4 linked regions of the Notamacropus eugenii genome follow. The protein of the gene in region 4 interacts with the protein of the main gene of each other region in a pairwise test. Links are inferred from orthologs where the notes say so. Each region holds a gene or a part of one and is shown on either strand. Other genes may lie near its edges. The genes, in order: STAT2, EPS8, STIP1 and EGFR.

What was found.
Region 1: the proteins of EGFR (region 4) and STAT2 interact in a protein complementation assay, tested with the Homo sapiens proteins (3 studies listed by BioGRID and IntAct, with this or other methods). The link is inferred for Notamacropus eugenii from reciprocal best matches to the Homo sapiens genes EGFR and STAT2.
Region 2: the proteins of EGFR (region 4) and EPS8 interact in binary tests that used the Homo sapiens proteins (3 or more experiments, as listed by UniProt). The link is inferred for Notamacropus eugenii from reciprocal best matches to the Homo sapiens genes EGFR and EPS8.
Region 3: the proteins of EGFR (region 4) and STIP1 interact in binary tests that used the Homo sapiens proteins (3 or more experiments, as listed by UniProt). The link is inferred for Notamacropus eugenii from reciprocal best matches to the Homo sapiens genes EGFR and STIP1.

Annotation. Positions count from the first base shown.
Region 1 is NC_092874.1:231,637,334-231,645,334, forward strand, and holds the start of STAT2 (signal transducer and activator of transcription 2), read right to left. Parts: upstream 3,015-8,001; 5' UTR 2,919-3,014; intron 2,444-2,918; exon of another isoform or gene 2,371-2,443; intron 1-2,370. Other genes in the region: APOF (apolipoprotein F), read right to left, coding at 3,672-4,565. UniProt on the Homo sapiens protein: Signal transducer and activator of transcription that mediates signaling by type I interferons (IFN-alpha and IFN-beta).
Region 2 is NC_092874.1:190,303,440-190,310,728, forward strand, and holds the start of EPS8 (epidermal growth factor receptor kinase substrate 8), read left to right. Parts: upstream 1-4,287; 5' UTR 4,288-4,748; exon of another isoform or gene 4,749-4,792; intron 4,793-7,289. UniProt on the Homo sapiens protein: Signaling adapter that controls various cellular protrusions by regulating actin cytoskeleton dynamics and architecture. Depending on its association with other signal transducers, can regulate different processes.
Region 3 is NC_092873.1:17,036,407-17,044,308, forward strand, and holds the start of STIP1 (stress-induced-phosphoprotein 1), read left to right. Parts: upstream 1-4,900; 5' UTR 4,901-5,018; coding exon 5,019-5,027; intron 5,028-7,902. UniProt on the Homo sapiens protein: Acts as a co-chaperone for HSP90AA1. Mediates the association of the molecular chaperones HSPA8/HSC70 and HSP90.
Region 4 is NC_092874.1:420,224,744-420,231,823, reverse strand, and holds the start of EGFR (epidermal growth factor receptor), read right to left. Parts: upstream 3,006-7,080; 5' UTR 2,700-3,005; coding exon 2,612-2,699; intron 1-2,611. UniProt on the Homo sapiens protein: Receptor tyrosine kinase binding ligands of the EGF family and activating several signaling cascades to convert extracellular cues into appropriate cellular responses.

The sequences.
Region 1 (8,001 bases), about 190 Mb from region 4:
CAAAGTAGATGCTCTTTAATTGCAGATTAGTTAAGCAAATTGTGGTAAATTAGTATAATGGAAAATTACTGTGTAATAAGAAAAAATTAACATTAAATAAATCGTAGATGCACAAGAAGGCAATGTCAACAAAAAGAAAGAGAAAACCAGAACTGAACACTGGTCAATTATAAGGACCAAGTCTGACTTTAAAGGAGATACAGTATCATAATCTGGCTCAACTTTGTCATTTTATAGATGAAAAAGTGCTTCTCCCTCCTTTGCAGAGATGGGAGGGGACTATGCATGTGGAACATTGTACATACTGTCAAATTCCGCTTGCTGTATTGGTTAGTTTGGGGGAACTACACTTTTTTCTCACGTTTTCATTTTTCTTTGTCACAAGCAATGGCCTCCTTTTGTTAGGGGTAAGAAAGATAACAGTTATGCAAGCGTAAAAGATATCAATTTTTTTTTAAAGAAAAACTAAAATCATTGGAGGGCTACTTATTTTTCCATGGTTGGTGTAGATCAATATCATAAAAAATACTGCTACCTAAATTTATTGTCCTATACCAAACTACCAAGAATATATTTTAAAGAGCTAGCAAAATAATAACCAAGTTCATTTGGAGGAGCAAACGTCTGGAATTTCAAGGAGATAACAAAAAAAGGAGATTAAAGTTAGGATGGCACTTCCAGACTTCAAAGTGTATTAAAAAATAGCAATTAACAAAATTATTGGGTGTTGGTTAAAATGTAGCAAAGTAAATCAGTGGAAAAGACTTGTGAAGCAAGAATCAGAGACTATCAAACTCAGTAACTTGGTGTTTATTGAATTGAGAACAAAATTCTTGGAAAAGAACTCTGACAAAAACACTGAGAAAACTGGTAAATGGTTTGTCAGAAATTTAGGTTTAGATCATCGTCAACAACAACCTAGTAGCTAGTATTTACAGAGTGCTTTAAGATTGCAAAGAATATTACAATTTTAACCTCACAACAAACCTGCAAGGTAGGTTCTATTATTATCCCTATTTCACAGATTAAGATTGAGGATTAGACAGTTTAAGTGACTTGGTTAGGGCCACCCAGCTAGTATTTGACTTCATATTTGAATTCAGGTCTTCCTCACCTCAGGCCCAGCACTTCATCCACTGTACCACATAGCTGCCTGGCATCTATATACCACAATGAATTACAAATGCATACTTGAAAAAAATACTTTAAAAATTGTCAAAACAAAACTATGACTAGAGAAGAAATTTTTAAACAAGTTAAAGAGACAATCACAAAAGGGGAATCAGATGATTTTGATTACTTGAAATTGAAAAGCTTTTGCATAAATGAAATCAATGCAGCTAGGATAAGATGCTTGGGGAAAACAATCTTTGCCTCACACGGAACCATGAAGACAATATATGTAATGATTAAAAAATAAAAGGACAATTTAAAAAACTGAATGCTATGTAATTATAATGACCAAGCTTGCCCTATGAAAAGAACTGAGAAAATCGAGCCCTATCCCTTTATTGAAGAGGTGGGGTACTACGGTGCTAGAATACTGTACAGTTTCTGCGTTGACTGGCTATGCTGAAGTGTTTTTAATTTTGGTCATAAGAGGAGTTTCAGTTGGTAGGGGAAGGAAACTAATGTGATGTTAACACAAAGAGGAAGCAGAACACAGGAACAGATTTACCCAAAGGATCAGAAAGGGGCAGTGGGAATACCTGGTTGAAGACTGGGAGCCCAGAAATACTCATATCTTATGAGTTTTAAGTCTATCTTTCTACCCAGCTGCCCACGAATATATGTATTTATATGTAAACACACAAAATACACATACATGCATAAACACACTGCATGCATATGCATGTGTGCATTATGCACATTAATGAACACAAATTACACATGTATACATGTATATAGATATGAACTGTGTAGCTATATTTGAAGCTAAATACCTATCCAAATGCACATATACATATATGCGCACATATATGTATATAGATCTATTTGTATTATATATTTATGTTAGATTTACATATATAAATGTATATATTTCCCCCCCATATAGTAAATGGACTCTACAGACTAATTTCCTTTTGGGTCATGAAAAGTTGTAAGGGAGTTAAAAATTTTAGTGGGAAAGGGGACACAAGCTGATCAGGAAATACGAAATGACCCTGATTTTAGAGGTTAAATCCTAGAACTGAAAAGAGAGGAATCCAACTCAGATATTGGAAGAAAGTTGACAGTACATTCCCGGGCTAGGTGCCCAAATTGGTGAAACTTGTCAAAGCCTCCCTCTCCTCCCCGCCCCCCCGCCCCTGGCCCCGCCCCTCCCCTGGCCCCGCCCCCTCCCCTGGCCCCGCCCCCCTCCTGGGCTACCTGTTGTCAGAAATACTGTGGGGTAGTGAAAGGTGCTGGGGATTGACGTTTGCCAATCTCTCTTCCCCTGAGACTTCATGCATCAGTAAAGAGAAAAAATGATCTGGTGTTAAAAGCCTCAAATACGGCGTGGGGGGGAGGGGAGGAGAAGAGATACAACTCCCGCCCCCGCCCCTCCCACTCCCCCCCTTAAAATGTTATTTTCACAAATTATATACTGTATTTTTTAAAAGCACCCTCCGCCACCATCTAATGAGTTCTAGGGAAGAAAGAGAATAGAGAGCCAAGACTGGAATATCACAGAGGAAAAGGAAGGGCTGAGGAGGGTGATACATGAAGGGGCAGGGGATGGGGATCAGGGGCCGGGGGCTGCACAGTAGGGAGTCGAGGGGAGGGGGGGCGGGCCGTGCATCCAAGTTCAGGGGCCGCGGCTAATGGCGGGTGTCAGACTCCAAGGTCTCCTGGAGGCCCACCCTCTCCTCAGAACCTACGATCGCTTGCCCGGAGCCCATGCTTCGCCCTCCCAAGGGGGCTCGCGGCCTCCTTACCTGGCTGGTGTCGCTCCCCCAGTCTCGCGGCTCAGGGACCCAGCACTCGCCTGCCTGCTCGACCCTAAACACTGGAAGCCCCACCCCCTCACTCTCAGGCTCCTCCCTCCGCCTAGCTATTCCGGGTCTGGACACCCCTCCCTTCGGCAGCTCCAGCGCGTCACTCCGCGCTCTCCACCAGCCTCTTCTGGCTCTTCGAAGGCTTCCTCAGAACGACAAGCCCCGCCCCTCGTCAAAGGGTGGGGCATGAAGGAAAAGCCCCGCCTTCCGCCCGCAGTGATTGGACTGAAGGTCCAGCCAAACTCCGCCTTCTTTCCGCGGCGGGAGGGAGTCCCGCTGGAAGAATAGCCCAATGAAAAGTCAAAGATTGAGCCCGGGAGGCTGATGGTTTCCTGGAATTGAGGCGGAGCTACAGGGGAAAAGAGAAGAGCTCAAGCTAGAGATGAAACTAAAGGCTGTCAGTCAACCTGGGGAGCAGCTCGAGAGCCGGCCCCGAGGCGGCGCAGCAGGTAAAGAGAGACCCTGGCAGAAGTGAAGAGGATTTAGGCTCACGAGTTCAAACCTAAGCCTCACCGTTTTCTTCGAGTGCCACTGACCTGGCTTCCCTCAGTTTCCTACATGACCTAGAGATTAAATTCCAAATTAAAATTCCAGCCATCTTTTATTAAGCGCAGACACAGATGCGGAGAACAATCAAGCCTTTATTAAGCACTCGCACATACTGATACAGACGTCCCTCTCCGACTCCTTCTTTCATGCCCCCCTCCCCCAGTTCCACAGGGAGCTGTCCCCTGTCACCTCATCAGCCGTGCGATCGCTGCTGCCCATAGCCGGAGACACCCCAGGGCCCAATTCTGTGCTGGCTCTCCAGTCCTGCCACCTTTGCTCTGTGCCCTGGGCTGGGCTTCCTGACTCCTCCTTATTACCGTAATAATATTCGATCAGTTTCTGAACCCCAGCTTTGACCGCCGGCTTAAGTGCCAAACCGGCCATCACCCCCCCAGGCCCCCCTGTTGCCCCCATGAGTCCAACAAGGAGATCGTAGCCCAGGTCCAGCGCCGCTTCCTGTCCTCGCTCCCAGGCCTGAGCAGTGCAGTTCTGGGCAGCATAATAGAAAGCTGTCCCAAGGTTGTAGTAAGTCCCCACTTGGGGCAGGTACCGCATCACATTGTGCACTCCTCGCTCCTTCTCATAGACACAGTCCGCGGTCGAGAGGGAACGAGGCGCCCTTCTGGACCTCTCACTTCTCCGGCCCAGGAGCTGCAGAGCAGAGAACAGGACCCAGTCCGATCTCCTTTCTCTTCTGGTCCTTGGAAGGCCTTGGAGCTGTTGGATGAGAGTCTCTGTGGCTTTCACCCCGCCCAGTCTATGGAGTCGCTGCCGAAGGTCGTGGGCATCCGCTGGGCATCCTGCTCTCTCCAGGGTTATGTAGAAGGCCAGGCTAATCAGATACTTAGGCAGAGGGTCTAGGCGGTTGAAATCGGGAAGAGACTCAGGCATCAGGTTCCAACAGGAAAGGGGGCTGAGAGTGGTTGGTTGGGACTCCAGGGACGAAGTTGGGAGGGGTAGGGCCTTGGGATGGGATCCATCTGGGAGGGCAGCTACTGGGTATAGCAGGAGGCTGCATAGAAGGACCATCACAGGCATTTTGGAGGGTAGTGGATACAGCCTTGCTAGAGAGGAATATAAAGGAGACACAAAGCTATTCTGGTTGAAGTCTGAAAGGATTCAGATCCCAGTCAGGGAACAATTCTATCCCTATTACAACCTCCACCTCAATAACTTGGTACCAACAGACAAGGTGGGAATTTTTGGACTGATTATGCAAGAATTTGTGCTCTTTATCCTCCCCTGCCAATTCTGGTCTCTTCATCTTTGTCTTTGTGGAAAGCTAGAGAATCATTTCTCATCGAACAAAAACAAGAAGTATACCCACCTGTTTAAGAGCCACACAGCCTCTCCTTTGTAGGTCTCACTGCCTTGTAACTTTCCAGTTGTGGACTTCTCCACTCGCCCCTCCTCCTCCTATTCGATCCCAAAGATTGGCAAGAGATGTGATCACTGTAAATATTTGTCCATCTTGCAACAGATCATCCCTTGTTTTCTTGTGATGTAGGAAAGTGAACAGAAAACCATATAAAGTTAGAGGGTTTGAGTCCAAGTCTTATTCCTTACTAAGTTCTATGACACTTAATTCATTTAACTTCCATGAACCTGTTTGTTCATCAATGTAGCAGGGACAATAGCTAGACGATGCAGTGGGTACAGCCTTGAATCTGGACTTGGGGAGACCACAGTTCAAATCCAGCTTCAGACTGTGTGACTTTGGGCAAGACATTTAACCTCTGTTTTCCTCAACTGGAAAATAGAGGTAATGATATGACCTACCTCTCAGTTGTGAAGATAAGTGAGATAACATTTTCAAATGGGATATTTGTAAAGTCCTTAGCACCATGCCTGGCACATGGCAGCTGCAATAATAATAGGGGTTATTGTTGTTATTTCCACTGCGAATCAAAAGGAATATGTACAAAGTGCTATATAAGGTAAGCTACTATTATTATGCTTTCATCTTCATTAGGAAAAAGGCAATTAACTGGGCAGTTTCTTTTCCTTGCTATTTGCCTGTCACCCATGCCACCAGGTTCCTGCTCAGGTTCAGAGAAGTCTAGGGAATGGACATTGTGGAAGATAAAAGAGTAGTCTGAGATTCTCCAAACTTTCCCAGTCTTCAGTCTGGGAAATTGTCTTCAGTCAAGACAGTTACTGGTGACATATTTGCAATTTTTCTCATGCAGTAGATCTGTTAGTTTGCATCGAATTCACATAACCTTTAAGGATCTAAGTCCTTATTTAATTGGATTCAGTCAAAGTTTTGGCTGCACTTGAGGACCTAGAGGGTCACATGTGGCCTTGACACATCAGGTTCCCCACCCCTGACCTAGAGTCTCCTCCATGAAATTATGAAGCACTAGAGGATATTAGTAAAGGGTAAATACAAAGTACATGCTCAATATTTGCTTAATGAGGGAATAGAGCAGAGGGTCTAGGTGGTTGAAATTCGGAAGAGACAAAGAAAGTGTGGTCAAGGGGCGATGATTCTGGGAAGATGACTGAGTAGGTCAGAAAGTTCCAAACTCTCCAGATTTCCCCCACAAATGAGAAATGGAAAGACTTGGACTTGTGAAGGAAGAGTTTATCCACCCTCAGAGAAAGAGGTCAAATAAATATAGCACGGTCTTACATAATGCATGTGAATGTGTATGTCTATATGAGTATGATTATAGACATCTAAGTATATGTATGCATTAAGTATATGTGTGCAAAGAGGGTCTGGAAGCTAAAGGGAGAGAGACCAAGATAGAACTGGTCAGGTATGGGTCCTTTAATCAACAGCTTGTATCTATCTTAAGTTTCAGTGAAACTGGGGTGTTTCTTTCCCCTCTCTACAGCCTCTTGGACCCTTTAATTCTAGTTAGTCAATTAAAAAAATCTACACTTATTAAGCACCTATTACAACCACTAAACTAGGTTTTACTGGACATAAAGAGAGAAATAACATGTCTTTCTATTCCTGTTTAATGTAAGCTTTAATTGCTCATCAAAACTTTAGGAAGATTGGGTTACTAGTCTTCATGTGAAGCATTTGCAAACTATTTAGAGTTTCTGTCCCCTCACCCCCAAAGGACTAGTTATTCTATATAGCCTGAATTTTATCCAAGAAAACAAGCAGACTGTGCTCTTCACCGAGAAGCTGCAAGTCTTGGGGTAGAGGGTATTAGGAAATGTTTGGCCAGGACTTTTTGATCAACTCGGCACATTATGATAGCCTTTAATTCAGGAAGTTTTAGCTGATACTGCATGACACTTCAAGCCTCAGATGAAAACTCTGAATAGCATGGAGGACAAAAGCCTGGAAATGGGACTTGGGGTCTATGGGAACAGAACCAGGACAAACTCACATGCTTGTTGTGAAATTTGATAGATCACCCCTCAGGTTCATGGGTATAGTCTCTCTGGAGGGACAAGTGAGCAATGATGAATCCCCAGCTCAACTGAAATTTGCCCAAGAGCTACAGAGACAGTAGGATCTTAAGTCTTGCCAACACCTTGTAATCCAAGAACGAAGGTCTCATTGGTTTCTTTTCTTCTTGTTCTATAGAAGCCAAGCCACAATAAAAGGCATTCAATTGGGCAAACAATCTCTTCCCCAGCCACATCGCATGCCGCTTTGGGTGTGAACCAGGGTCCAAGTTAGGAAATTCATGTAAGAGATCCTAGAAGAATTGGGGTTGGCCAGAAAGTGTGGTCAAGGGGGGTTGATTCTGGGAGGATGGCTGAGTAGGTCAGAAAGTTCCAGGCTCTCCAGATTTTCCTCACAAATGAGAAATGGAAAGACTTGAACTTGTGAAGGAAGAGTTTATCCACCCTCAGAGATAGAGAAATGTGTATATCTATGAGTATGATTATAGATATCTAAGTATATGTATGCATTAAGTATATGTGTGCAAGGGTATATATATGTATATATATTTTGTGTGTATATGTCTACATATGTAGGTATGCATGTGCATGTATATGTACATGTGTGTGTATGTGTGTCTGACCTTAACTGTATCCTTCTGGGACTGTGTGGTTAGGGGTGGAGGTGTCGAGTAAGGGGGAAAAAGAACAAAGTAAAAAGTGCATAGAAGAGAACAAAAGAAAACTTACAAGGAAGCAAAGATGGACAGCTCTCAACACAATGTTTAGTATTTCATATATAGGCTTTCTTAAAATGGAAATATACTACTGTATTTTGAAACCTCTTTTACATTCTGCTGTGCGCATGGCAGTGCTTTTTTTTCTTTTCTGATTTTGTATTTAAATTTCAATATTTAAGTTTGTAATATATTTCTTCTTTAAGTTCTGTATTTAAGTTTAAAATAAATTTAAAAAAAAAAACAAGTGTGGTCAACATATTCTTAGAAAGTAAGAGAAAGGAGGGGAGGTCAGTCTCTATACTGGCTTTCCTTGTGGTGATAATCACTTGGTATGGTAAGCTGAATTTGGGCCATGATGGTGTTAGGTGCAGATCTGCTGG
Region 2 (7,289 bases), about 230 Mb from region 4:
TACATGCCAGGGCCAGCCTCTGCCCCTTCTCTACTCTTGGATTTGGTTCTGAACTTCATATCTAGGGTTTTTCTTGCTAATTTCTATTTTCTCTGGTGTGTTTGTGTGTAGTGATGGCAGGTTTCAGGACTGCCTAGATCACTGGCTTCAATAGTACTGTGGCGTTAAAGGTCATCTCGAAGGGCTCAAGTCAGAATTCTGTGAAATTCTAGTGCCCCTGAAACCTCCTGGTGCTACCAAATTCACAATTGGAGTGGCCAGAGCACTGCAAATTTCCATCCATCCTCAAGGTCCCTCATTTATATGCTCTGGTTGTCTTGCTTTGGAGTATGAGTAATGAGGATTTCAAGTGCTGCTGGAGCATCTTTGGTCCACAGTGACAGGCCTCTGGATTGTCAAGCTGTGCTGAGGCTAGCTTTTCTCATATCCCCTTTCCATTGCTCACAGGCTCTGCCTGTCTTTTTGTACTGATCTGGGCTGGATAAAGGATAAAATTGCTATAGTTTCTCTTCATATTTCTTGGTCATTTGGTCTGGTGGTTTTTTTAGATTTTTGCCATAGTACATGTGTGACTGTTGGATTCCTCTGAGACCATTCATACAACCCCCTTAAGTCTCTAGCAGCACATTTTAAGAGGGATTTTGGCACACTGGAGTACATTCAGAAAAGCATGAGCAGCATGAGTAAATGAAACATCTATTGAACTTTCACTAAGAGCAAAGGGCTGTGTGAAGAATAGAAATTCCCATACTAATGAAATCACAATTCCAGATTAAGGATTATAACTGTTCCATTCCACTCCATATGAGTCACAACTGTATCTGCGCATTAGTGGTCTTAACCTGGGGTACCCAAAGTTGTTTAAAAATTAATTTGGTGGTTATTCCTGCTCTCAAGGAGTTGACATTCTAATGGAGAAGCAACACATATGAAAGGTTTCAGCTGCAAATCAGATTGAAGGGTCTCATGGTGCTTAGGGTAATACTACTTTTTAAATGCTATTTCCACTGATAAAATCATGTCATTTACTGATGTTAGACCACTTGATAGTGTGAGGACTTTGGTGGCAAGAACATTCTTTTTTGAGTTTTCAATAATTATGCTTGTAGCAACTGCAGAAGCAGTTGCCAGGTTGCATCTCCACAAGGGCTGCTTCCCAGGATGACAGTTATGGGCACTGTGCTCTTCCCAAGGCTCTTGGGTTCAGGGTCTTGAACTGTCTTCCTCAGAGTCTGAGGGGAGATGATGATCAAGGTGGTAGTCATGGTTCTGCTTACCTGAAAATTGATACTTCCTGTCTTTCCCTCAAAATTGCCTCGCTGCTTCATCTAGGTGGGTTTTCCTGCGCTTTGTGTGTGGCTGGCTATTGATGAGCAGTTGGTAGAGATGGCTAACTCTTTCTACATAGGAGTTGCTTCCCTGGAAGATGGCTTCCAGGGCTGGGGTAGGACTACTTGTCTGGGGGTTGTTGCCACTCCCAGTGGAACAGCTGAAGGAAATAAGGATATTTAGGGTAGAGAAGACTTAAGGACATGAAAGCTAGCTTCAAATATATGCTGGGCAGTCTTGTAGTGGAGGGGTCAGATGAAGTGTGTGTACCTTCACAAGGCAGAACTTGAATCAATAGGTGCAAGTTATAAGGAGATCAGTTTTAAATCAGGAGAACAATTATAAAAGTAAAAACCTGAATATGTTACTTTACAAAGCAAGGTTCAGGTGGGCAGTGTTGGGGACTGTTGAAGCAGGTCCTTGGATGAGCATCTAGTAGGTATGTATTTGAGAAGATTCCTGCATAAACTGGAAGGCTGGATTTGATGAGTTCCAAAGTCTTTTCCTGATTGTAATTCATTCTTCCCTTGATTCTCATGCATTCTAATTCCAAAGATTTCATTTGTTTTCCTACAGATCTCTAGGATATGCCTGCTCTGAACTATGTTCAAGCACAATCACTCCCTGCCTGTGCTTATCACAGTGACTGGCACATGGCAGGCACTTAATGAATAATTAGTGAATTGACTTCCCAAAACTCAAGAACTTGGGACTTTCCTTCTTGCCTCTGTTTTCACTCTCATGTTTCTCAACTTCTCAAGAAGAGTCAAACAAATAAATGATTAGCAAGTTTTCTTCAGGAAGTTTGTCTTTATTGTTCTGGCCTTTCACTGATTTTCAGCAGGTTATAAATAGATCTAGACAAAAAGCCAATATGGACAGACACATAAGTACTAAGGTAATGGCTTAGAAAACAGAAAATAAAATGTGTATGAGACAATGAAAATACCTTTTAATAACTTCTTGATGGAAGTGGTGGTGGTGGTGGTGGTGTTCTGGTCACTGGAATAAAATGTTTGTGAAAGGAAGTAATGGAAAAATCACAGTCTCAGAATTGCAAGTTTTTTTTGGAGTTGGAAAAGACTTTTTTTGGTGGAGGGTTATCGAGTTAGTCAATAAGAAGCAATTGCTACTGTGCCAAGCATTGTGCTAAGTGCTAGGGATACAAGCAAAGGCAAAGGGCATTTCCTGCTCTGGAGGTGCCTCAGTCTAATGGGTGAGACAACATGAAAACTAGGTCAAAGCAAACCATGTATGGGATAATCTGCAGATAATAAAATTAAGAGAAATCAGGAAAGGCTTCTTGTAGAAGGTAGGATTTTAGCTGGGATTTGAAGGGACCCAGGGAAGCCAGGAAGCTTAGATGATGATGAGGGGGAGCATTCCAGGAATGGGGGACAGTCAGTGAAAATGTCCAAAGTTGGGAGAGGGAGCGTCTGGTTTGAACAGCAAGGAAACCTGTGTCATTAAGAGTATTAGAGAAATGGAAAGGTGAGGAGAGAGATAGCATGTTCAAAATCAAAGAAGATGTTGAACACCCAAAAGAGAATTTTATATTTGATCCTGGAGGTGATAGGGAGCCATTGGAGTTTACTGAGTTTGGGGAAATGATATGGTCAGATTTGTAATTTAGGAAGATCATATTGGTATATGAGTGAATAATAGGTTTTAGAGTGGGGAGAGACATGAGGCAGGGAGATCAACCAGCAGTCTACTGCAACAGTCCAGGTATGAGGTAGTGAGGGCTTGCTGTAGGGTGGCAGCAAGGTCCAAAGGTGGAAGATGGCTTATAGAACAGATGTTTAAAAAAAGGGTAAAACTGATAATCCATCCATGTCCTGAGAATTCATTTCCTTCTTCTAAAGAGAACAGGGTCTGATCAAGAGTTGTGAGAAACTCAAGATCGATTATGATTTGCTAATTTCAGCTGAAGTTTCCACTTCGGGGTACCTGGTGGGTTAGGGATATTGGGAATGGACTTTATTTTCAGGGAATCATGCTGGGAGGATCATGAACTCATAGGATTACAGATCTAGAGCTGTAAAGGACTTCGGAAGATATCTAGTCCAATTCCTTCATACTATAGATGAGGAAATCAAAGTCCAGGAACACTAAGTGATTTGCTTAAGGGCCATACAGGTAAGTAAGTAATCATCAGAGGTGGTTTTTGGACCTAGGTCCTCGGCTCCAGGGTTATTGCACCTTACTGCCTCCCTCTCTCCCTCATTCAATTAGTTTATGAGACCAGTCTTTGTAGCACTGGAAGATGTAGAGCTAGGAGGGATCTTAGAAGCCATCTCTTCCAACTCCGTCATTTACAGATGGGGAAACTGAGGACCCAAAAGGGTTAGTGATTTCTCAAAGTCATGCAGTAAATGTCAGAGGTTGAATCTGAAACCAGGTTCTCCTACTCAACTTCAATCCAGTGCTTTTTAGCGTGTCTTCAGTAGAAATAATACAGGGAAGTAGAAACACACCGGGAAGAAATAAAACAAGAGAAAAGGAGAGAAAGGGAAAAGCGAAAAGAAGAAAAGAGAAGGAAGGAGAGCCAAGGAGATGGAAAAGCAGGCAATCCATCAATTGCCTTTCACCGTCCTCATCAATGACAAAGAATGAGTATTTATTTCTGTATGAAAGATTTCCGCCCCCCCAACGGTTGTAAGGTTTACGGGGCACGTCACTACTCCCTCCTATCCCCCCTCCTCTCCGGGATGTGTAGATCCGTGCCCCGGGCGCCCCGGGTTGGACCACTCCTCCCACCCCCAGACCCCCAAATATTTGCCCCTTTTGGCATCTCTGTGTTATCTGCCTAGCAGCCTTAACGATCCCGCAGAAGGACACGGATCCGTTAGGAAGCAGTGATTTCAAACGGGGATAGATTCCTTGATAACTTTCGCGCTCCTCCCCCTCCCTCCCTCCTCCCTGCCTTTCTTCACGTTCAATGCCGCTGTCAGCCAGATGGTTCACCATTACCCAGGCTCCAGCCGCCTTCTTCTCCCAGCTGCAGGCAAAACCCGGACAAGTGGAGCGCAGCTCGCTGCGAGTGCCTAGGGTGGCGTTCGCGGCCGAACTGGGCATGCTCAGCACGCAGGGCTGGTCTAGCCGCGAGTAAGAAGCTTTGGGATTACTCTGGCAGCGGAGAGAGCGCGCAGCGGGTCTGGCTGGGGAGAGTTAGGTTCACGGGCAGGTCCCCTTCTCATCCCGCGTCTCTCAAGCGTCGGTGCGGGAGGCGGCTGGCTTCCCTGACCGGGGAGACTCGGGGGGCGCTGGCTCGGGTCGGGGAGTGGCGGGTCTTCTGCTAGCTCCCCTCGCACCCCAAGTCCTCGATCCTTGACCAAGGGGGAGAGCTGCTGAGCTCCAAGGAAAGCTTTTGTGCACCGCTCGCTGCTGGTTTGGAGCAAGGAAAACAGTCTACCAAGGTGAGAGAGCTCCTTGACCAAAACGTTTCCAACAAAGGGATCGGGTAGGTTTCGTAAATGCTTGCCTATTTAACTCTTTCCTTTTTCTTTTTCTGTGGTTTAACTGGACTGAAGGCAGTAGTAATCGGCTTTCCACTCTTGCGTCTTTCAACTGGTGTTTGGAGTAAGGTGCAGGGAGCAACTCCTGCCCTCTGGGCATATTTGAGGCTCCTTAGAGTCCTCTACCTTCTGGGGCTTGGACTTATTCTGCTTTCTCCTATTCTTATCTTCAGGTAGGCTTCATAGCTACAATTTTGCGAGAAGTTCACCTTTTTTCCCCCTGGGAAGATGGGGAAAGAGAAACACAAAATGTCCATATAGTGTTTCCTGGTAACTTGAGCTTGCTACTACCCGGAGTCTTATCTTGTCAGCTGGGCTTCCATAGACCTAGTGTTTGTCTCACATCTTATGCTCGTAGATTTCAGGTGTTCATAGCCTTCTTCTTTACCTCGTCACCCCCAAGAAAAGTACTGTTGGAGTTAATGATTCCTTTGAAAGCGTCTTTGGTGGGTGGGGGAAAGAGAGGGACAAGATGCCATTTGTAATTCTCTTTGCACATTAAAGCAGAACTGTTGAATTACAAAAAAAAGCTCGCAAGTTATTTTGGTTTTCTTTTCTTACGTTGTGTTACGATCTTTTATTGATTTTTTTTCAAATGATTGATTACTTTTGAGAAGACTGCCTTTCTTTCTTTCAATGGTCACTATATTTGAGTTTGATTTATTTCATATTTCCCTAAGCTTTCCACTTTCCTTTTGTTCCATAGCCTCCCAGCTCCCTTTACATTTCTTAATGCTTTGCAATTCTTTGAAAGAGCCTTGGTTCAAATCCCAGTTCTGCTCCTTACTATCTGTATCACCTTGGGTAAGTCGCTTAAATCTAAGCCTCTTATTTCTCATTTGTAATATGAGGGGATTGGAGGAGATACCCTTTCTAGCTCTAAATCTACAGTCTTAATGCTTCTGCAATTAGGACCATTGTAATTGATGCAAGTTGGTTGGACTAATCTCCATTTGGTCTGAAACAGGAGTGACATACAGTCAGATGAAAGTGACTAGTGAAAATCCATGAGTGCAGCCCGACTCCAAAAAAAAATTCTGCTTGCCACTGTGCCTACCCAACCTACTTACCATGAGATTGAGGCATTTATAAAAAGACCTGGTTCTTCCCCAGTATAAAACCCCAAAGTCCTCTTACATTAATAAGCTATACAGAACCAGTTGACTGTCTGAACTGAGCTGTTTATCTACCAAGGCATATGACTGCCATCCAGAACCAAACCAAAATGGGGGTTTGTGGGAATGGCAGTGAGGTAGAGAGCCTACATGTCTTTCATTTTGCTTGTATTTGTATTCTCAATGCCTGACACGTAATAAGTGCTTAATATATGCTTGTTGACCAGCTGATTTACTGATCTTTTTTATATGAGTGTGATACTGGTAGTATGCATTATCCAGTAAACCTTGCAGTGAACTTAAGGTGACTATGGTTGTATCTCTATTACTGGAATTCTCAAAATTAATGGTACTAATAGCTGATATTTCTTTGTGGCTTTAAAGTTTGTGCAATGTTTTACAAATATAATCTCATTTGAGATTCACAATGATCTTGTGAGGTAGATAGTAGGGTTATTATTATCCTCATTTTACAAATAAGGAAAATGAGGCTCAGAGACTTGAGATATCAAGATGGATAGAGCACCAGACCTAGAGGCAGGAAGACCTGAGTTCAGATTTGGCCATAGACATTAACTTTGTGACCCTGGACAGGTCACTATTTGCCTTAGTTTCCTCAACAGTAAAATAAGGACACTTGCACCACCTTCCAGGGTTTTTGTGAGGATCAAATGAGATTATATTTGTAAAGCATTAACACAGTACCTAGTGCTATGCTAGTAAGTGCTATTTAAATGTTGCCTATTATTTTTGTTGTGTTGTGTTTGGTTTAAAGCCATATCTTCTTGACTTCAATTTCAGGACTCCATGTACATTATTTCATAAAGCAGAGGATGCCGACATGATAAGTCCTATTAAGGATATATATTCTAAGTTGTTGTCTCAAACGGAAGCTAGGTAAAATTAACTACTGTTACCTGTAGAAATAAAAATCTTAGAGAAGTTGATCATTTAGAGTTGTATTTAGAAATGTTATTTTTCCCAGTCACTTAAATGAATGTATTGCTAGTTTTCTGGGCAAAGTTAATTGCTTGCACCAAAGTGTCAATTAAAAATGTGAAATAGCTAATGTCTTGGTCATATAGATTTTGAAACCTACATTGACATGCTCGAATGTTTGAGAGATCATTTGATTTTATTTTTGTTGTAATTAGGAGGTAGGGGATTTAGGATCTGGGGAAGGTTTCTTTGAAGTGAGATCACAGAGATTATATTTATTTTGCTATTAACTTAGTTTTTCTGTTGAAAAAAAAAACAACACAATTCTTTTGTACCTTCCTGGCTTGTGGAAATAGTATGTGCTAGTCATTCAGATTCAGTGAATTCA
Region 3 (7,902 bases), on a different chromosome or scaffold from region 4:
CTCTGGAGATCTTGGGGCTTCCAGAGCCCCTCCTCGGCTGTCTGGGGACTGACCCATCTTTTTTATGCTCATGCCTTTCTTGGATGATGTCTTATGTTACAATTGTACTGTCTCATAATGTGAGAGTGGCATAGGGCACCCTGACCTCACAGTGCCTGGGACTGGAGTGAACTCTAGGTATGGGGACATGAGTGACAAAGCAGAGGGACTGATGATCCAGGCAGATATTTTAAGGTTTGTCAGATGGCCGCTGACAGAAAGTAGTTTGGTTCATCAGAAATATCTGCACACCACACACACACTCTCACACATATACATACCCCTCTCTCTGTCTCTCTGTGTCTCGGTCTCTCTGTCTCTCGGTCTCTTTGTCTTTCTGTCTTTCTGTCTCTCTGTCTGTCTTTCTGTCTTTCTCTGTCTCTGTCTCTGTCTGTCTGTCTGTCTCTTTCTCTCTCTCTCTCTCTCTCTCTCTCCCCCCCCCTCCTTCCCTCTCTCTTCCTCCCCCCCATCCAGTCAGGACTACATCTCCCAGCATCCTGAGTCCCAGCCCTCCCCTCCGCCCTCCTCCCCCCTCCCCTCACGTCCTATCTCCAGTTTCCCAGGACGCCTGGGAATTCTCAAATTAGCCATTCACTCCCAGGCCCCACGTACTTGAACCGCCCCGTCACCTGTTGCTGGAATCCAAACTCAGCACTAGAAATAGCCCCCTGCCTGGCTGGCCCCCCAACCTGCCTCAGCTCTTTGCAGAAGTGACCAGCTCGGCCGCCCAGGGCATAGCCGGGTATGCCAGGGCCTGGAATCTGGTTGCCAGCCAGCCGTCTTCTGGCATGCTTCCTTCTAGCCCACAAAGAGTAAAAAGTGACTTATGTAACATGTTAGAGTTTGCAAAGCACAGGACCAAAGTTCACCCACTGAAGGAGATCTCAGAAATCAACCATCCTCAACCCAGCTTTTAACGGGGAAGGAAACTAAGACCCAGGGAGAGGACTGACCCAAGGTCACACAGGCCGACAAGTATCTTGTGACAGGCACTGGGCCAAGCCCTGGAGGAAAACAGCTTCGGACAAACAGGCTTAACGGGATGGGTAGGAGATAATTGGGAGCAGGGGAGAATATAGAATTGAGGGGGAGCAGGAGTCTTCTTGTAGAAGGTGGTGCTAGCTGGGGCTAGGATGGAGACCCAGGGGTCCCGACTCCCAAATCCTGCATTCTCTCCACTGGCCTCTGTGATTCTGTTGGTCCAGGAGCGTTTGAAGGCTACAGAGGACTTCACATAGGTGTTCAGGGTAGTTTAGCAGGAAAGGTAAGCTGGTGCTGTATTTATAGTCTCAAGATCTGAGTTCAAGTTCTGCCTTTTCCATTTACTGGGGGTGGGGCATGAGGCAAGTTCTTACCGTCTCTAAGCCTCAGTTTCCTCCTCTGTCTAATTAGTGGGATAGACTTAGACAACCTCTGAGAGCCTTCCAGCTTGAAATCATCTATTTCTCCTCACTTAAATCCAATTCACAGGCAAGTCAAGAAAGATGACATCATGATAATCAAGTTTAATAAAAGGGAAAGGATGTATTAAGGACCTACTATGTGCCAAGCACTGTTACTAAGTCCATTCCATTCAATAAACATTGATGGATCACCTACTGTGTGCCAGGCACAGTGCTAAGCCCTGGGAACACAAAAAGAAGATAAAGACCGTTCCTGCCTTCAATCTAATATATCCAAGGTGAACTACAGCCTGGACAATACAAAAGAATGAGGGAAGGCCCTGGAGCAAGCAGGGCTTGGAGCAGGCTTCCTGTGGAAGCTGGAGTTTTAGTCCTGCCTTAAGGAGTAGTGGGAGTGCACGAGGGGGGCATGTTCCAGGTCTGGGGGCAGCCAGAGAGGATGCTGGGACAGAGGGGTCAGCAGGGGCCAGGACAGGGAGGAGGGGCCCGGCTATGAAGGCTTTGAATGTTAGGCTGAGTGTGGACAGACATGATCTCAAATCACCAGTCTTTTGTCCCTCTCCTAGGCTGGCAGCACCAGGTAGAAAGGAGCCAGAGAGGGGGAGAGGAGCCCCCAGGCTGGGTCTGTGCCCATGAGGACCAGGGCAGGTGGCAGGAATCCTGGGAAATAGATGGCAGAGAACTGAAATGTAAGTAGAAATCTTTTCCCTCCGGGCCCGGTGGCAGCTCAGCTCCTGGAGGAAAAGAAAATTCAGGATGACTTTCTTTACCTTCCAGTCTGAGAGATGTGTCGAAAACTTCCTGGAAAGTATACAGCAGATGGCTCCGTCAGTCTGTCAAGCAACAGGCATTTATTAAACTCCTACTGTATGCAGAACACAGACACAGACTGCTGTATGAAGAATGGATTGGAGAGAGAGGAGAGACTGGAGGCAAGGAGGCCAGTTAGGAACCTACAGATGATGAGAGGAGTGAGTTGTAGCTGGGTCTGACTCTTCAGAGTAAGGGGGATCACAGAATGTCAGAGCAGGAAGTCATCTTGTCCAAGCTAGCTTTCCTACCTGATTAAATGGTACTTCCTTTCCCATGCAGTGTGGTCCGGCCAAACTAGCTTTCATACTGTTCTCTCACACAAGACTCTCCCACCTCAAGTGTTTGCCCTGGCTGTACCCCGTGCTTGGAATGTCATCCCTCCTCATCTCCACCTCTTAAAATCCCTTGCTTTCTTCAAAATTGTTCAAGGAACACCTTCCACATGAGACCCTTTCGGCTCCCTCCCCAACTGTTAGTGTCCTCCCCATCGCTGCCCCACCCCTTCTGATTAACCTTGTATGTACCTTTATTTTGGGTTGATTTATTTATGTACAAATGATCTCCCCCAGCAGAATGCAGACACAAGTGGTAGATACAGTATTCATATGAGTGCCAAGTCAGTGATGCCCACAACTGGGCTGTGAGGTCACCGTGTGGGGTCACAGTCCTTGTTTCCTGATGGGCATCATAGGACTGCCTTTGGGGGACCTGAGAGGGGCTTCCAGGAAAATTAGCACTAAAACTGTATTATATAGACTATATCAATGTATTCCATTTCCCTTACAGTATGTATTCCTGGGGTGTTTTATGATAGCTAGCATTTATAGAGTGCCTATTATGTGTTAGGCTTTACCATTATTCTGTATTTAATAAGAAGTGGTCAGTCTTTGGTTTAAGACAGACATCAAAATGACCCTTCTATTAATTATCCAATAGCCCTCATTAATAAAATGATTGTTAATTACCCAGAAAAAAATAATAAACAGTTGTTACTTTACTCATTGAAATTTCAGCCATGAAGGTATCTCCTGGTGTGGAATTGTCCTCCGCTCATGCAGGTTGGCTACTCTGTGTATAAATGTGTATTTACAATTCTATTCTATTAGCAATGTTATACATAATATGTAATCTTAGATGCACATAGTTCTTCTCTCTGTGTGGGGCCTGGGCCCTGGGCCCTGGCTGGTCAATATTTTGATCACTTTATTCCAACAGAGTTGGTCTCCTTTGCAATCCTATGTATTTGCTCTGATGCATTTGAAAACCTGATTCTGAGAAAGGCCCCCCACGTTGTCCCAGGGGTTCAGGACACGCAAGAGCCTGGGTCAGAATCAGCTATGAGGACCTATCCTCTCTCTGATATGTTGTGATCTCTCTTACATAAGGAATGGCATTCAGGTCATGACTGCCAGGTTATCTGGTGGCTGTGGCATTCCCACTCGGGTCCCGGGGCAGAGTGTGAGGCCCTGGAAAGAGAGTCTAACCCTCAGGCAGATCCAGCCACTTCTCCTGGCCTGTTTCCTCATCTGTAAAATGAGGGGGATGGGTTTGCTCCCATCCTCACCAAGACACAGGTGCCAGTGCCCCCTCTGTCCCCAGCTCACACTGAGGCAGGGCTTATGGATCCCATTCCCACTCAGCGATCCTGGGGCAGGTGCTGCCATAGACCCCGTTTCACAGATGGGAAACTGAGGCTCAGATTGACTGGTTTGCCCCAAAGTGACAGAGTTGCTCCTAATAGGAAAGAAATAAGCATTTATTAAGCGCCTACTGTGTGCCAAGGACCAGTGCTTAACTGTGCCCTTTACAACTGTCATGCATGCGAGTAGGCGCTTTTATGATCCCTGTTTTCTAGCTGGGGGCAACTGAGGCAGTGGGAGGTGAATGGCCTTGCTAAGTGCTTTCCCCGGCACCCCACCTCCGGTGCAGAGCTCTAAGCGCCCCCCACACCCCGCCCCCACACGGCAGCCCATTTCACAGAGGCCGACCCTGCCCCCTGGGACCCCTGGCACCCCTGGCACCCCTGGCACCCCTGGCCCTGCCCGGACTCCTTCCGTGAGCCTGCGCAGTTTGAGAGGGCAGAGTGTATCGGGGAGACGCTCGGGGTTATACCCGAGGGCGCCCCCCCGGGTTGCGAGAAACGAGCACCTCCAGCCTGGCCGGAGCCTAGGCACTCCCCACGAGTTAAGGGAGCGGGGGAAGGGCCAAGGCCGTGGCAACAGTCTGCTCGAATGGCAGCAGGAGCGACCTATCAGAGCCAGGCGCTTGGAGACCCTGCGCCCAATAGAATCGCTCCTTATCGCTGGCTCTGACGTCACTGTGCCCGTCAGTCCAATGGGAAAGGTGGAAATTTCCAGAAGGAACTGGACCAATGGGTGCGACCAGCGCCAGCCAGACCGGCGCTCTCGCCAACCAATGAGTATAGCAGACGAACGCCTCTCTGCCAGTCGTCAAGCAGGCTCTGGGGCGGGCCGTGCCAAGGAACGCCCAATGGCGAGGAAGAAAAGACTAAGGGTGGAGCGAATCGCCGTCCGCCGTCCAATGAAAGGAAGGTGCCCATGAATGGCGGAGAAGTCAGCCTCTCGGAGCGCTAGGGGGCGGGGCTCGGAAGGAAAACTCCACCAATGGGGCGGCTACGAAGGGGCGGGAGCCGGGAGTCCCGGCAGCTTCTAGTAGGTTCCAGAAGGCGGCGCGTGCGGCTGGGAGCTGGGCGCGAGCGGGCTGGCGGACGGATTCGCGGCTGCCTCGGCTCCGGCCCGGGCCATGGAGCAGGTGAGCGGCGGCCGGCGGGCGAGCAAGGGAGGAGGGCGAGCCGGGGAGAGGTGGGGGGGCGGTGAGGCCCGGGGCCGCCGCTGAGGTAACTGAGCCGGGGCTGGGGAAGCGACCGGGGCCCAGGGAGGGGCGGGCGGGCCCGGCCGGGCCAGGGTCAGAGGGCGGTTATTGGGGTGCCCAGGGCAGATTGAATCTGAGGGGAGGCGACGGGACCCAGGACTGGCGGGGGAAAGTACTGGAAGGGGGGAAAGAATGGGGGGGCGAGAGGGGGAGGAGCAAGGCCTGGGATGGGGGGGCTGTGGAGGTGGGGGGAGGGGAAGGGTCTGGAGGAAAGGCGAGCCTGTTTCAGGGGGAAAGGAGAAGGGCTCTTGGGCCCATCCGGGGTAGAGAGACCTCCAAGGTTTGGGGGTTAGCCCGAGGAGCCGAGCTAAGAGACAGGAAGTAAGGGGGGGGGGGGCAGAGGCAGGACTCCCAGCGGGGGGTCCAGGTCCGAGGAGGGCAGGCCCTCGTGGGGCTCCAGGGATGGGGGGAGGGAGTCAGCCCGGCCTTCCGTGAAATCCATGGGGGGTAAATGCAGGAGAAACTGGGAACTGATTGAAGTAAAGGGGGGGCAAAGTGAAGTCAATGGGGGCGCCCCGAGGCAGGCTCTCTGTGCCTCTGGGGCGTCCTAGTGAAGGTGCCTGGGCCTCAGGTGGGGGCTCTTTGGGCTCAAAGGCTTTGAGGAAAGGGGCCCTGGAGCAGACTAGGGGACACCCCCCCCTTTTAGCTGGACACAGCAGAGCTGATGCTCGGGTTGGGACCCTTCTCCAAACGCAGGCTGCCTCCCCAAGTTTTTGGGTTCCTCGGAGGTGCAGTGATGGGATGTAAGAGGCCGGGTCAGTACCAGAGGCCCTGGGTGGCAGACCAGGCTTGTGGGAGTGAAGGGAGAGGTGTCTCTGTTGTGGTAGGACGACAGGACTTGGCTTTCTGGCTCACTCTCGGGGGCCTGGAGGACAGGAAGGAAACTTGGAGGGTCCCATCTGGGGTAGAGTGGTCTGTGGGCAAGCTAGCCTTGAGTGCTTAGGTCTCTAACATTTAGATACCATCTAGGGTTCCTCCCTTACACTCGTTTCACAGATAAGCAAGCTGAGGTTGAGAAAGGGATTGGTTCGGTACCCCACATGGGTGGGGACTAGAATCCAGGCCTTCCTGCTGTCTACCCTCTGTCTCTACATCCCAGGTCTGAGAATAACCTCATCCTCGCTGCCGGATGGGTTTGTGTGTTGTCTCATTCACTTTATGGTTAGGAAAGTCCATGAGTTGTAAGAAACGTTTGAACACCACAAGCTGGAACGTTGGGGAGGGGGGCGGACTCAAATCTTGAGAGGCCAGTCTTTTAAGTTAAATTTGTAGCACAAGTCAGGTCAGACTTTTCCACTTGAGCTCCCCTTTGTAATCGCATTGGGGAATCACCCACACTCAGTGTGCTCTTTTTATTTCTTGACTGGCCCAAGCTTACCTGCTGAGTGGGATTTCTCGCTCCTTCCTCCATCAGACTTCAGAATCCCCAAGTTAGAAAGGCCTTTTCAGTCCCACCTGTGCCTGAACTGCAACTCTCTCCATACCTGCCACAAAAACCAGGAGTTACATTGGGAAGGCAGCCATTGCAATGTTCTTGTTGTAGTGTTCTTACTAAGGATGGTTGCATTTGAGCTTTATATTGGCTTTTCATTTTAAAGGATGTACAAATGGGGGAGAGAGGGCACTTTTCAGATTAGGGATAGCTGTTTCCCTGTTTGAGGTTCTGCCCCTCACACCCATGTGTGAGAAGCTGCCAGCCTTTCCTCAAAGGCCCTTGTCTGCTGGTTTGAGAGACATCCTGAAGTGGTACCACAGACCCTCTCTCATGCATGGTCCTCCTACATTTACTTCAACTGGAGGTTAAAAAAAATGAGTCATAGATTTGGCTGAATTAAACTGAGCAGGGGGCAGGCTTTATTTCAATCTCCCAAAGTGATCTTAGGGTGCCAACCCTCCCCTTTTTCCCCCTATTCCTTCGCCATTTGAGAGAAAAGTGTTTGCCTGTCCTATGGATGGATGACTCATGACCACTTCAACGAGGGGAGGGTTCTTCTTAGCCTCAGGAACATGGTCTAACCATGCCAAAGAAATGGCATCTCTTCACTCTGGAAGTAGGAAGTCTTTCCCAGTTTTCCAGAAATCCGACTGAGACACCATAACAGAACAACATGTTCACATGCTCTCTTTGCTAACCAGTTCCAGCCCCAAGGGAATCAAGAGAGTCTCTGTTGGACTTTTGGGAAACGTGACAAATCCAAACTGCCCTTTTTTCCCAGGTTAATCCCTAGGTCAGTCCCACAGTTTTCCTTTTGAGCTTATCTCTGTGCCTGCACATTTTAGATCTCTTGATTCAGTGAGGAGTGGGAAAATTTGAAAAGAAATTAAGCTATTCCAGCCTGCGAGGGAGCCTCTATTTACTGTTGTTACCCAATGAATTTCAAGGTCCAATTCCATCTTTCTGTGTTTTGGCATAGAAAGAAGCAGTTAATTTTAGATTGTGGTCAAGTGGAGTCATAGAAAGTGTTTTGGACCTGGAATTCAGAGAGACCTGGATTTGAATCCAGCCTCTGATTTAGCTCTGTGGCTAGATGAGCCATTTAATCCTCGAGTTTCCATTTCCCCATCGGAAAAATGGGATTCATGCCTGTGGTACTTGACAGGGTCATCCTGAGGTTTCAGAGAGGTGTGTATATGTTCAATCCTGCAAACACTGAGAACTGTTTGTCTGAGCTCATCAGGGAAGGGGGACCTCCATCAGAGCAGCAGATTTCTACCTGGAAGGCCAGCCTTCTCCATGGAAAAGCTCCAGCCATGC
Region 4 (7,080 bases):
GCAAGGTCGAAAGGTTGAAGTCACACATACCTGTCATTATTCTTTTAAATGCACAAATATTTCTGCTTTCAAGATCTAAACAAATTTCTTTTAAATATTCTCATTGACATTGATTAGACTTTGTTGATTAAAGGCATAGATGAATTTAAGTGCACCTGATCATAACTAATACTCTTTCTAAAATAGGCTCACTCAAACCTAAAGAATTTGTACTGAGAAATTAACCATTCCCTTTTACTATCCTATGTGCACATTCATTTTCTTAGAGTTTGGTTCTTTTTATCCCCACATTAAAAGGCATTCTACTTTAAATGGATACAAAAAGAGAACAAATTATATTTTCTCAGAAACAGCTGAAGCATTTTAAAGTATAGAATACTAGAAAGTTTTCAGACATAGATATTCAAAAGTCAACCATTAAAGTATTGTGAAAAATATTTTATCAGAAAGATGATGCCTTCAAGTAAAAGAACAGTAAAATTACAATTGGTCCTAGAAAGGTACAAGGTATTATTCTTGTACCTGAGAGAAAAAAAGAATTTTTTTCCTGAAACTATGAATCTTAAATGTGAGGGAAAGTGGATTAATATAGCATTAGTTTTGAAAATAAGAGGGGGTGGGGAAGACATTTTACATTTGTCAAAATATCCAAATCTGTGATGATAAATCTGAGGGCTACTCACTAAATGAAAAAACAACAGCTCTGATCTTTCAACACTGACCACTCACTCCCCAGTATAGGACGAGAATATTCACCCTCTCACCTATATTTTGCAAGTTTGATAAAATAAACTGTCTCAAAACATCTTTATCCGTAGAAGGGCAAACATAGTCAAGAAGTTTATGTAACTCCCCCACAAAAAAAAAAAAAACCAAACCCACAACAAACCCCCAGCACAGACACACACACACACACACACACACACACACACACACACACACCCCAACACCCTGTGCCAATGACATCAACAACAGGTCGGAACCTGACTCTTGGAACACGAGTTCCTTAATTTTAAGATTGTGCAATTAGAATCTTCTAAGGCATGTTTCTTGTTCCAAGGGAGCTTATTGACAGTAGTCACGAAATCAGATTCTCTCATGCTTGGTTCAGAGAGAATGGTGGACCTTTACCAGTTTCTTTCAACCGGTGTGTGGTTTGATTATCTACTCCCCACCCCATTCCCGAGAGGAGAAAGAGTATGGAGTGTTCATTTGGAAAGTTACTCCCCAAACGATTTGCACTGGAATCTTTATAAGGGATTACTGTCATCAGATGGTTTTGAGGATTCTATAATCTAATATCTCATTCTCCAAAGAAACCCTAGAGAAACCATCCACGATTCCAGAATTGCCCCCTAGAAGTTTAACAAAGTATTTTAAGAAGCATGTAAGAACGTGAAGCGACTCAGGAGTGGGGAATAAGTAAGAGAGGGAGGGTAGTAGGGAGGAAACCAAAGGTGAGTGTAGGGAGCGACCCGGCTGCACAGTTGAATCCTACACAGACCTGCGCACCTTGTAGAGCAGGGAAGGATCAAGCACAGGCCGACAGTCACTGGAGTGGGAAAGGGAGGAGAGGGAGAGGGAGAGGGAGAGGGGGAGAGCGAGAGGAGGGAGGGAGACACAGACAAACAGACGCACAGAGCTACAGTTAAAAAGAAGCAAGTCCAAATCCTGCAGTGTTATGAGGGTGACGGAAGGCGGAGAACCTGAGAGTAAAGAATGGGAATGGGGCTGAGGGCTCTTTTCCCTATTGGTTTAGTGTGTTTGGAGGAGGGTTCCGTCTACTCCCACCACCCACAGATCCCACCCCGGACTGCTGACAATCCAGGCTACAGAAAGAGAGTAATGAAATGTGAACGAGGGAGCCGGTCCAGAGGACTGGACAGGTGACAGACACCCTTAGTAGCACTTAACCGGTGGGACTTCTCTCTAGCCTGGCATCTCATGCCCTCTTGTTTACCTGTCCTGGGAAGTATGAGGGCTGTGAGGGGGGAGTGGAGGTGGGGTGGGGGGCACATGGGACCCTGTCCCTTTATCCCCGCTGCACAGTGTCATCCCCAGAGTGCGGCCAATGCCAAGGCGCCCTCACCCCCAGAACTCTACTACCTCGATCCCCGCCTCCCCGCCTCCAGCCGCCCCCCACCCCTTCCCGGCTAGTCTACGGCGCGGGCCAAGGAGACGAAAGCCGGCTGAGAAAGTTTCCTGTGCAAACGCAGATGGAGCTCGCGCAGCCAGATTGAGGGCGCGCCCGGGAACTAGTGACTCTGGACACCAGGTTTCCATTCGGGAGCTCAGTTCCCCGGCCAGAGATCCCTCAGTACCCCCTTCTCTCTGGGCCAGACAGGATTGTCAGGACAGCCCCTCCAGGCTCAGCTCCCACCGGGGTGCTGGCCAGAGCTCACAGCTGATCTCGCAGGAAACGGGGGAGGGGAGGGGAGCGCCGGCCGACTGGGACTAGCGAGCCGGAGGGAGACCGGCAGCCGGCTAGCAAGGGCTGAGGCTGGGGCGGGGTGTGGAAAGAGGACAGGCAAGCTGGCGGCAGGGAGACCAGGTGAGGGCGAAGGCCAGGCAGGGGACGCGGAGAGGCGGGAGGCCAAGGCGACACCTTTACCTTTCTTTTCCTCCAGCGCCGTGCCTAGGGAAAAGTGTCCGGCAAGCAGCACCAGGACAGCGGCTCCAGCAGCCCCAGAGAGCCCCATCGCCGCACCGGATCGACGTCGGTCCCAGTTCGATGGTCCCAAAGTAATCTCACGAGCCAACAACCCCTTTTCCCCGCCCGGGGGCCAAGGGAAGGCGGAATGTCGTTGAGGGTAGATTTCTGCCAAGTGCAGAATCAATCCCAAGGAGGCCGGGGCGTTTGCTTCTTGCTTTTCCTCCTTTGGCGTCGGAAAGCTTCCCTTGAGCCTTCTCTGCCCCGGACTCGGGCTGCCCGACAAGGCTGGCTTAGCAGACCATGCCGGGAAGGCGCTCTGCTTCTACTGCTGCCGCCGCAGCGCCCGGAGGGGAGGTGGAGAGGGGGGAGGAGAGGGAGGAGGAGAAAGAGGCGGTGCGGCCGCTGCCCCTTAGCCTGCCTGTGTGTGTGTGTGTGTGTGTGTGTGTGTGTGTGTGTGTGTGTGTGTGTGTGTGTGTGTGTGTGTGTGTGTGTGTGTGTGTGTGTGCCTGTGTGCGTGCGCGTGTGTGCCTGTGTGTGTGCCTATGTGTGTGTGCGTGTGCGCGAGCTGGAGCTCCTACCGCGCTAGGCACCGGAGGTGGGGTAGGGGTCTAGACAGGCTGTCAACTCCGAGTCCTTGAGCACACACTTGTGAGTGTGGGCTCCGTTTTTTTCCCTTCTCCTTTGGGACAGAGGTGGGGGAGAGGCGGAGAAAGAAGCGCTGAGGGTGTTTCCTCAACCCTGACCTAGGCTGAGAGTGGTTCCGACCCACAGCTGATTCTTGCACTCTCTCCTCTCCTTCCTTTCCCTTCCCAGTTCTCAGAAAAAACAAAACATAAAAAACAAAAGAAAAAAACTTTCCCCCAACTTCGCGAGTTTCTCCCTAGAGAATCCCCATCAAACAAACTGAGCTACGTCACAGGGACCGAGAGGAGGCTGCCCCTCTTAGTAGGGTCACCACCACCCGGTGGAGAGGGATAGAGCCAAGCAGGGGACAGTGGGAGGATTTCAGGGCGACAGTGAACTGGGCCGGAAGGGCAGAAGGGTGGTCAGCGCAAAACCAGAATCTGTGAGCGCTGTCCGCCCAAGAGAAGGCTGGACTCAGAGCTTGCCTAAGTGTGTGATTCAGAGTTTTCGGAAGTTTGGCCAGGTAACGACGTACTCTGCCTCTGTGGGCATCTCCCACAAAGGAGAGAAAGGACAGAGCTGCTTTTCTTTTTTCCATAGCCTTTCTTCACCCTCGAGGGTGGAGGTGAGGGAGAGGTTCACTTCATGAGGCAAACGTTCCCCCAGACCCATTAACTTTTCAAAAAACAAAACCAAACAAAACTTGGTCAGTTCCTAATATTTCTCATCACATTTCCCTCCTCTCCCTTTTAGGGTATGCGGGCTGGGAAATCTTTGCCAGACGACCCCAGAGCTTAAAAGTCTAATGTTTAGGTGGAAATCAAATGGCGAATATTAGTGGAAGGATAGCCGGATTTTAAATTCCAAGTCAGAAGTAAGAAGACCCGGAGTTTTATAAAGTTGGTAACTGAATGTTACAAAATGTCTGAAGCTAAGGAGGTGATTTTGGGAAATCACAGCAAGGGGTGAAAAAACATTAAGCAAAAAAAGATAGATAAGGAGACTGTGCGTTGTTCTTCAGTGACCATTAGTCAATTATTTACGTAACGTTCTTCCTCCATATTCTCATTATGTATCTGTGTATGGATGTATGTATGTGTATAAAAGTGGAAAATCACAAATTATTTTGTTAAGGAAATAGGAATCCTTCCGCATGTCACCATGGAAAGAAGATTAAAGTGTTCTAGAGTGATTCCCCTCTTTTACTTTTTATACACTGATTTATTATCTGCTAAAGAATTAACGTCATGTAGCCCTTTTGCCTCAGTTTATCGTGAAGATTTTACCAAGCTTCCTCTAACCTCTTCCCCCATCTTTCAAAGTTCACAAATAGTTCCCAAGTGTGTATTAACTACTAACATCCCAGTAAAACAGATTTTGCAAGTTCAAAATTAGGAGACAAAGAAGGAGTAAAACAAAAAGTATTCATTGTAGCAAAAAGCAGTGCCTTTTATTTCTGTGTTCTCCAAGGCCTGGGCATTTGTAAACCTCCCCCCAAAGCCCACTGATGCCCCATTGCTCCCCCCCTCCTCCCCCCCCACACAGGTTTGTGTTTGGCTTTCAGCAACCTTAATCATCTTGTTGCTCCCATGATGGTAAAGTGCATAGAACCTGGAATTAGTCCCATAGCTCAGGAAGTAGACTATGGTAGTGCAGAAACTATGAATGATAGTTATTTCCCCTTTTTAAAATTTCACCCTTAGAAAGAAACTGTGGTGAATGGCAGAGAGCGTCCTGGGGTAGGGTGGGGGAAACTTGATTAAAGGCTAATTGACCAATTATTTACTAGTAAGATTATTTAATAGAAAGATTGCTTCTATAAAGTTAATATGAAACTAATTATAAAAGGAATAAACTCAGCCTTTAGCTGTCTAATTACAATTGATTTTTGAGATGGTAGTATTAAAAAAAAATCAGATTCCCTCCCACATCCATATCCTTTCTTCACTGAAAAGGTCACCACTCTATTCTAGGCCACCAACACTTCTCACCCAGACTATAGCAATAACCTCCTAATTGTTTTCCCTGCCATCTCTTTCCTCTCCAAACCATCCTCCATACAACTGTGAATATAATTAAAAGAATTAATGGGGAAAAAGGGGAATTAATGCTGGAAGTAACCTTAGACACAATCTAGTCAAATTCCCTTATTTTACAGGTGCGGAAACTCTGGTTAAGTAATTTACTCATTGTCACAGAGATTTGTGACATTTGAACCATGTTCTTTGACTCCAAAGCCCCTACATCTTCCCTTACACCACATTCTCTTTTCTTTTTTTGATCACATTCCCTTTTCCTAAGGTAGAGGTCTGACCATTCCCTTATTTAAAAACCTTTTCTGACTCCCTACTGCCTCTTAAAAAATGGCATTTAAGATTTTCTTCAATCTAGTTCTCACCTACCTTTTCAACCTTATTTCACCGTATTTCCTTTCACCTACTCTATTCTGGCCAGATTGGATGACTAGTCATTGCCCAACTTAATATTCTCTCTTTGATTCCCATACATTCAAACAAATCATGTACAATGCCTATAATGCCTTCTCATTGCAGAAGAGGTTCAACTTAAATGGTACCTGCCCTTTGAAGTCCTTCCTGGTCCTTCCCTTTCCATCAAATTACCCTCTCTTTTTCTTATGCACACATTGTATTCCCCCTGTAGCATATAAGAATATTGGTGTCCATAGCACATACAATCAATGCTTTGAGCACAGAAGCTTTAAAAATGTTGACGTGAATTTGTTGAAATTACCTAGAGCTTCCATTTTTTTATAGGCTCATTGGATCATAACAACATAGAAAAGATGTCTGAGGCCATCTAGTCCAAATCCTTCATTTTACACATGAGGAAATTGAGGCCAGGAGAGGTTATATGGTTAGCCTGAGGTTACATGGGTAGTGACTATCAGACTACACCCATGCCCAAATTCAGCAATCTCTCCCCAAGATATTCAGTTTGCACCAAGCCTCCCCACACTTTGCTTACTAAGACCTGGCTTGGGGTTGTTTGCTTTGATCTGGAAGAAACTTTAGAGAGGATTTTGTTTAATTCCTTCACTTTCTAAAGATAGGGATCAGAAAACCAAAGAAGGGATTTGACTTGTCCTTAGCATGGTATCTGGCTTCAGACTTTTCAGATTCCAGCTCTTTATACTAAGGATTATAGACAAAGTTGAGGAATCTCTATCAGCTGAAGGGGAATGAGGGAAGATTTTATGGCAAAGGTGGTACCTAAGATGAAACCAGAAGGAAGAGAAGGAATGAGGAGAAAGGGGTGTGTTCTAGATGTGAGTAAATGCCTGAGTCAATGCACTGAGTGCAGGATGGTCTAGATCAGGAAACTGCTGATAGCCCAAAGTGTGTGAATGCTAACAAGGTGAGATAAGATGGGAAAGGTAGGTAGAATGTACAAGGCCTTAAATGCTGGGCTGGGGAGTTTGCAATTATGCACATTGCAGTCTTGTGTTGTTTCTTTGTGGGGAACTGCACTCTCCTTGTATTAAAGACACTGTAGTATATTAAGATGGTATCACAAAGGAACATGTAATTTGTGATTGTGCTGACGCACTTTCATGCATGAAATAATTCTCATAAGAACAATCAGGTCTTGCCATAGCCATCTGCATTAGCTTAAGGTTGGTGAAGCAGTTCAATGTGATCATAACTTTTCAAGGCTTACTCAACACTCCGAAATACTTCCCCAGAAATGTTGAGTAAAAAAAAATTATGTTGAATCTTGCCTAGGAAAAAAATAAACAGTTTTCGCCAAAGTTATAGAATCCAACCCAACCAGTATTTATTGAG